2 linked regions of the Alligator mississippiensis genome follow. The protein of the gene in region 2 interacts with the protein of the main gene of each other region in a pairwise test. Links are inferred from orthologs where the notes say so. Each region holds a gene or a part of one and is shown on either strand. Other genes may lie near its edges.

What was found.
Region 1: the proteins of APOA1 (region 2) and APOC1 interact in a two-hybrid assay, tested with the Homo sapiens proteins (2 studies listed by BioGRID, with this or other methods). The link is inferred for Alligator mississippiensis from reciprocal best matches to the Homo sapiens genes APOA1 and APOC1.

Annotation. Positions count from the first base shown.
Region 1 is NC_081838.1:31,178,728-31,182,623, reverse strand, and holds APOC1 (apolipoprotein C-I), read right to left. Parts: upstream 2,519-3,896; 5' UTR 2,495-2,518; intron 2,002-2,494; 5' UTR 1,980-2,001; coding exon 1,925-1,979; intron 1,130-1,924; coding exon 979-1,129; intron 750-978; coding exon 689-749; 3' UTR 560-688; downstream 1-559. UniProt on the Homo sapiens protein: Inhibitor of lipoprotein binding to the low density lipoprotein (LDL) receptor, LDL receptor-related protein, and very low density lipoprotein (VLDL) receptor.
Region 2 is NC_081839.1:34,260,099-34,263,757, forward strand, and holds APOA1 (apolipoprotein A-I), read right to left. Parts: upstream 2,306-3,659; 5' UTR 2,221-2,305; intron 1,781-2,220; 5' UTR 1,763-1,780; coding exon 1,720-1,762; intron 1,505-1,719; coding exon 1,351-1,504; intron 1,199-1,350; coding exon 616-1,198; 3' UTR 525-615; downstream 1-524. UniProt on the Homo sapiens protein: Participates in the reverse transport of cholesterol from tissues to the liver for excretion by promoting cholesterol efflux from tissues and by acting as a cofactor for the lecithin cholesterol acyltransferase (LCAT).

The sequences.
Region 1 (3,896 bases), on a different chromosome or scaffold from region 2:
AGCTGGCACTGCCTTGTGCTGCCCTCACATGGGGCTGGGACAGGGTACCTGGTCTGGGGGTACAGAGAGCCCGTGGAGACCTCCAGCACCCACTTAGGCCCTCCTGGCCCCCTTTTACCATGTTCATTGCAGCCCAGAGACAAGCCAATCTATTCTGGGCACACGAGACTGCAGCAAATGCACACCCAGCGCCTGACCAGCTGGGCTGCAGCCTTGCGCCCAGTCCAGAAATGCTGACGGCAGGAGGGACAGGCTGGGTCCCCCCAGCACTGTCTGTGCCTGAACCGGGGTCGCCTCCCAGCAGCTCTTCCCACCATCTCACCAGGCTGGAGCGCCGCAGCCACGTGCATGCACACGTGTTTGTCAATCCATGTGCTGCACCACCCATGCAACAAGATTGCACACAGGGGTGGAGCCAGGTGGGCATGGGAGCCTGGGGCTCGGCCCCACATGCATGTGCACGTAGCAGAACCATCCAGGATGGACAGGGAGGGGTCCGAGTCCTCCATTGTGAAGGGGCAGGCAGTACGCAGCAGGGGAGACTGAGTGGATGCCGGGATACGAAGGCAGCAGTGCTTTAATTCATGGCTACACAGCAAGGGCGGCAGGAACAAGGCCACCAGTGAGATACTGGGCATGGCTGGGGGCTGCCTGGAGACCCCCATTCCCCCACTGAATCAGGCCAGTCCTAGGCAAACGTGTCCTTGAGCTTCTCCTTCACCTTCTTGAAGTGCTCAGAGAACCAGTTCCTGCCAGGCAAGGGACAGGGCATCAGCACAGGGCATCAGCGGGTCCAGCCCCTCCACCGCTCTCCCAGCTCCCTGGGGAGCTGGCAGACCCGCAGCACCAGCCCCTCTGAGCCAGGGCCAGGATTGGCGTCACCATCCACCTCAACTTCGTTAAGCCTTCCCCCTCCACCAGGCCCAGCCCCAGGGAGCGGAGAGAGGGTCAGGGCCCCACAGCCGCCCGCCTGCTCACCGGGTCTTGGTGCTGAACTCGCTGTCATGCAGCTCCTGCAAGGCTGCCTTGGTCTTCTCCCCAATGTTGTCAGCGAAGACCTTCACATTCTCCTTGAACTGCTCCAGCTTTTGCATCAGGGTCGGCTCCCCTGGCTCCGACCGGGCAGAGTCTGTGGGGAGGAAGCATCAGCTGGGTGTGCCTGGGCAGGGTGGAAGTGAGGGGGGCCTGGGCAGGATGCCTGCCTCGACCCTACCCAGCCCCCAGAGCCGGTCACTGGATACCAGTAAAACAAGGGAGGACATACACGGTCTCCTCTGCTGTGTCACAGCCTGGGCACGGAGCCTGCGGAGAGCAGCACTGGCTGTGCCAGGCTCGCGCAGTGCCCAGCGGAGATTCTGGGAGGCAAGTGCCAAGACAGATGTGCCCAGGTGGGGGTCTCCCAAGGCAGATGGCAAGTGCACGTGCTCCCCCCCTGCCCCCCCAACCAAATTCCTGCCCCATGGACACGTGGGTCTCCAGACTGCTGCTTGACACACAGACACCCATGGCACATGCTTGCACACGCATGCACGTGCACGTGAGGCAGCTGGGGCTGGCAAGACTCCAGGCATCTGTCAAGTGATTGATTTCCTTGGGCACACCAGGGCGGCTGTGGGTGCCTGAGCGCTGCAGACTTGCAGCAGGCACCAGCCCTGCCCCGCAGGGGAGACAGCAAGATGCGATGCAACGCGGCGCAACACGGCAGGATAGGACACGCGTGTTATATGAAGTACAGACAACAAAGACTGGTCAGACATGTCTGTCCGCTTCCACGCACCTGCCTTCCCTCCCCCACTACTTCTTATGCCCGTGCAGCCCCTGCCTGCACACGCATGCTCCTCCAGGACACACGCACATGCATGTGCAGATATGTGTGCACACACACACACATACACCATCCCAGGGACCCGCTCCAGGCTCCTACCTGCCAGGACCAGCAGAGCCACAAGGGCCAGAGCGATGGAAACTGCAGGCCGCATCGTCCCTGGGGTTGGCTGCAACCTGTGGGGATGGGGGGCAAAAGGGAGGGTCACCTGGAGCCACACTGGGGGGGCGAGACGGCCCCCATCCCCACCGTGCCTCCTGCTGGGGCCCCATTCCCATCTCCCAGCAACTCCATGCCCTGCCAGGACCCCCACAACCAGCCCTCAAACCCCACAGAGACCCCCACCCTGCCTGGGCCTCACTCTTGCCCCCTGCCCTCCCTTCAAGGATCTGACCAAGCCCCAGCCCTGTGGGAACCCACTCCCCAGATCAGCCCCTGCACAGGGGGGGCTGCAAAACCACCCCCAAAACCCCCATGCCCCCCCAGCTCCAGCCCAGGACTCCCCTCTCTGCCCCCCCCAGCTCCAGCCCAGGACCCCCCGTCTGCTCCCCCCAGCTTCAGTCCAAGACCCCTCTCTCTGCTCCTCCAGCAGCAACCCAGGACCCCCCTCTGCCTCTGCCCCAGCCCCAGCCCCAGCTGCAGCCCAGGATCCCCCCCCCAGCCCCGCACACTTGCTGCAAGCTGGAAGGAAGCAATGGCTGCAGCCCTGCTCCCACGCCCTATAAACCCTGCCCTATAAACCCTGCGCCGCCCCCGCCCCACAGGGGGGGAACCTGACCCCCTTTCCCCTCCCTCCTTCCCAAGGCCTCTTAATTGGGAGGTTGCTGGTCCAGGAAACCAGATCCCAGCAGGGTGTGCGCGCACTGGTGGGGGGGGAGGGGGGAATAGCTGCCTTTAACCCCCAAGTGCCCGGGCAGGGGTGGGGGGGGCTCGCTGGGGCCCAGCCAGCGCCTGCCCTGAAGCGGGCAACAGCTTTGCCCAACAGCTTCACCCCGTGCTGCTGCACAGAAAGGGGCTCCCATGAGCAGGGAGAGCTACCGCCCGGGACTGTGGGGTGCATCCACCGCCCCCCAACTCCCACCATCGCACCGACACGCACCCAGCACAGGCCGGAAGTGGTCCTGGGCCTGCCTTCCCCCCCCAGCAACTGCCCCTGCCCGGAAGGGGCAGAAACAGCCGGTGCCCCTGTCCCTTCCCTCCAATGCACCCGGCTCCCCCGGCCTGGTCCCACAGCTGCCCAAGCCCTTGGGCCAAGGCCAAAGGCACCGGAGCAAGGGTCGCACCAAGGGGGGCACCGCGGGGAGCTGGCCTGGCCGCAGCCCCTGTTTACCCGGGGAGGCTGTTTGGGTTGGACAGGGCCCTGGAAAACACCCACACAGAGAGCTGGTGTTTTTCCATGGTCCAGGCCCAAGGCTGCAGGGCCATGGGGGGGGTCTCCTCCTTGTACTTGGGGAATGCAACCCCCAGCCCAGCTTGGGCACCCTCCGATCTGGGGTCTCGGCCTCCCCTGCGGGACCCCCAAGGCTGGGCCCCTGGGCCCTGGCTGTGGCTGCGAGGCAGCGCTGGCACGGGGTTACGCGCGTTCAGGCCGCCCCAGGCCTGCCCGCCTCGGGGCACTGACCGGCAGTAACCCCCTTCCTCGCAGGGCCCCCATGGCCAGCTCCTTGTTTCCACACAAACATCCCCCAGCTGAGCTGAGAAACGCTTTGTTTTGCCAGCGCCGCGGCCCCCCCAGCCTTCCCCGCGGTTTTCTTCTTCCAGCTTGAGGTTTGGGTTGTGAAAGCACCGGGACCAGCTGACCGGCTCCTCCGCCAAGCCAGGCCAGGCCAGGCCAGCCCGGGGGCTGCGTTGCAAAACAAAGGCTCCCGGGGAACAGCTGGTGTCAGCACTTGCCAGGACCAGGCTCTGGCTCCCGAGCTCGGGGCCTCGGGCCGCGTGCTCCCCTCCCAGCCCAGCTGCACCCCATGCAAACAGCCCTGGCCCTGAAGCCTGTTGCAAAGGGGCTTTGTCTGGCGTTTGCCACTGGCTCCTTCCCCTTTGTCCAAGGTCCTCAGAAGAGACCAGGCCTGGC
Region 2 (3,659 bases):
CCGCTCCGGCTGCCCTGCGACCCGTGCACGGCCCAATCCAGCTCCCGGACTCGACACTGTCATGCCTGGCACCCAGCACAGCCCCTCCCTCAAAGCCCCACTTTGGAGCCCCCCCGCATGGGGGGCATCACCCCCACTGCACCAGGCTGCCCTCCCCACCCCCACCTCATGCTGCCCGGGAGGTGATGGGGGCCCGGGGCTCGGGACACCCCTGGCAGCCGGGGCAGCGGGTCCTGGCGTCGCAGCAGAGCTGAGCTGAGCTGAGCCAGGCACCAGACAGGCCCCGCTCTGCAGCTGCGAGGGGAGAGGAGCCAGGCAGGGGTCTCAGGGTCCCTCAGCCGCGCCGGCTGCAGGAAGCAGGTCCCAGGCAGCGCGGGCGCAGCCGGGCACGGACGCGGTGCAGCAACCCCCCCGCTCCATCCCCTGGCTCCGACACAGGCACAGAGCCCAGTGCTGCGCCCCTCCACCCCTCTGGCCACACACAACCCCCCACCTGCCCCGCAGAGACGCACCGAAAACACTGATAACTTAAAGCAGGTTTATTGGACAAAGCCAGAGGATGCACTGCCTGGGGTGGGAGCAGATGGCCCCAGAGGCAGGGCACGGGCCCGGGGCTCAGGACAGGGTCTTGCGGGCCTCCTGGAACAGGTTCAAGAGGTGGGTTTTGATGCTCTCGGTGTAGGGCTTGATGCTCTCCCTGAGGTCCTGCACCAGGGGCGTGACCTTCTCGCGCAGGTTGCTGAGGTGCTGGACGGCCTGGTCCCGGACGTTGGAGGTGTAGGGGAGGCTCTCGCGCAGCTTCTGCATCTTCTGGGTCAGCTCCTCCTTGTAGGGCGCCAGGGTCTTGCGCAGCTTGTCCACGTGCCCACGCATCCGCTCCTGCGCCTCCTCTGCCAGCGGCGTCAGCTGCTGCTGCAGCAGCTCCAACTTCTGCCTCGACAGATCCTTCACATTGGACACCACGGGCACCAGCTTCTCCCTGTACTGGTCCACCTCGGCCCCCCATTGCTGCGCGAACTGCTCCAGGGCGGTCTGGAACTTCTGCCGCACCTGCTCCAGGTCCTGCGCCACCTCGCTCTGCAAGCTCTCCGTCTCCTTGTCCCACGCATCCCGCATCTCCTCGTAGTAGGGGGCCAGATCCTCCTTCATCTGCACTATCGTTGAGCTCAGAGAGTCCAGGGTGTCGCCCACTTTCAGGCTGGGGGGCAAGATGGCACCAGGTTACGAGCTGCTGGGGATGCCCCCGTGCGCCCACCTAAGCCACCACGGCCCGGGGCTCAGGAGGCTGCTCCCAGCAGCGTGCGACTGAACTCCCCAGGCCCCCCCCAGGCCCCGCGGTCAGGCACTTACTCCAGTTGCTTGCCCACTGCCGAGGCATCGAACTGGGCCACGACTTCCTTGCCACTGGCTTTCATGGTCTCCATGTAGACGTTCAGCATGTCCTTGAAGCGGTCCAGGCGCGTCTGGGGGTCATCGTGCTGCCAGAAGTACCGAGCCTGGGTCCCTGCGGGGTGGGGGGAGAAGGCAAAGGGCTCAGGACATGCCCGGCAGCTTGCCCCGCAGCGCTCGAGGCGGGGATGCCTGCCCGCACCAGCCTGGGCTTGCAGGGGCTCCCGAAGCCCGAGGGCAGGACCCCACGGGCCGGCCCTGCCCGGTATCGCACCCAGGCTGCCCAGGACTCTGTGCTCCGGGGCCGCCCCGCGCCGGGTTGGGGCTCACCTGTGAGGAACACCAGGGCGAGGGTCACCACAATCGCTCTCATCCTCGGCTGTGTCTCGGGCTGCGAAAGACAAGAGGGTTTCCTGGGTGAGCACCTAGGACTCTGCTCCAGCCAGCCTGGAGCCCGGCCGGGGCCAAGGGGAGTCGGGAGCAGATGCCCGGATGGGGTGCCCCCTCCACCGATGGAGGTGCCCCAGTAGCTGTGATGCCCCCACCCACCCCAGGGTCCTGCTGAGCTGCTGGCGATCCCGATTCTGCAGCTGATTTTATTCTCGGGGTGGGCTGGAGGCAGCTCCTTCGTCTCCCGCAGCAAGAGTGAGGAGAGCAGGCAGCTTCGGGTGCAGATGCCCTGGGGTCTCCCCTCGCTCGTGGGCAGAGGTGAGCAATGGGCTGAGCCTCTGGGGCAGAGATCGTGCCCTGGCACCGGTGGGGGCTGCGCTGAAGATCCAAGGGGAGCGCGGCCGGAGTGGACGCAAGGGAAGGATGGGGTCGGGGTCTCACCAGTTGTTCCTGCTGCTGTTGCTGCTCCGGCGGCTCTGTGAGGCTCCTGCTTCCTCCGGCTGCTATTTATGGTGCAGGGGGCAGTGCTTGGCGAGATAAGCGGAGCCGCAGCCCAAGGAACCCTCCCAAGTCCCGACGATGTGGCACGGAGAGTTCAAGGATCGAGCTGCCTCCACGCGGGGCCAGGCAGGCCAAGGAGCAGCACCTGGCAGGACAGCTGGAACAAACAGGAGCGGGGCAGGGGGCCTGGCCTGGCCTGGCCTGGCCGTGCTCGGAGGGACCCCGATTCTCCTGCCAGCCCCGGGCTTGAATGCGAGCCGGGGACTGGGTTTGCATCCTCGGGCATTCGACACCACGAGGCTATGCTCTGGGCCACGGCTCCCAGCCATGCCCTGCCCGGTGCTCAGGTCTCCCTGCGGCGCCCCATGGCCAGCTGCATGCTCCTTCCCAACACGTGCCGAGTCTCCCCCCAGGCTGGCAGCACCCGGCTGCCAGGCCTCGCTCCTTCCACAGCGCCGCTTGGGTCCTGGTCAGGGCCAGGTGCTGCGAGCCAGCCAGCGGAGGATGAGCAGGTGCCTGGAGCAGCCGCTTTGTCCACCTTCGCTCTGCCCGCGGCTCCCAGGCCAGGGAAGAAGCGGCCCGGGCGCTGCAGGGCAGGACACTGCCAAGGGAACGGCCCCCCTCCAACGCTGCTCATCTGGAAGCGAGTAGGACAGAGCCCGGGGCCACCTCTTGGGCATCTCCCCCGGGATCATCTCCATCACTGAGCTTTGCCCCAAGACGGGCGGTCACGGAGGAGACGCTGGGAAGGCCCCAGGCAACAGGCGCTGCCCAGCTTGGCGCTGCCAGGGAACAGGGAAGCCTGGCAGGCCAGGAGTGGGTGGAGGCCTGGGCTGGGGTGGCTCAGGGCACTGCCACACTGACCACAGCAGCAGCAGCTCCAAACCCAGGGCAGGGAGGCGAGGGAGAGAAACCAGGAGGAGCGGTGGGAGCAGGCACTCTGGTATCCCCTGGACCCGCTGCCCCTGGGGGCTGCAGAGGCCGGGGAGACGGTGCCCGGCAGTGCTGCCCGTGCCCGCACGGCTCCTTCCCCAGAAGCAGGTACCAGCTTTGGGCAGAAGGCAACAATGTGAACTGCCTCCACGCGCCAGCCCTCTGCGGGCACCGAGGCCGAGGCCCTGCGCCCCAGCCTACGAGACCTGGTCTCGCACGGGATGTCTGTTCTTTGCAAAGAGGGAGCAGAAGGGACCTGCCAAGCCCCCGCTTCTTCCCCAGCCGGCGCCTTCCAGCGCTTCGCCTGGCTCGCAGCATCCTGGCGGCGCTGAGCTCGCGTGGTGCCGTGCTCAGCATGCCGCGCTTGCTTTCTGCTGGGCATGGCAGAGAAGGGGGGCACTCGCCAGGTTTGGGGGGCTCAGATGAAGCGCAGAGAGCAGCCTGGG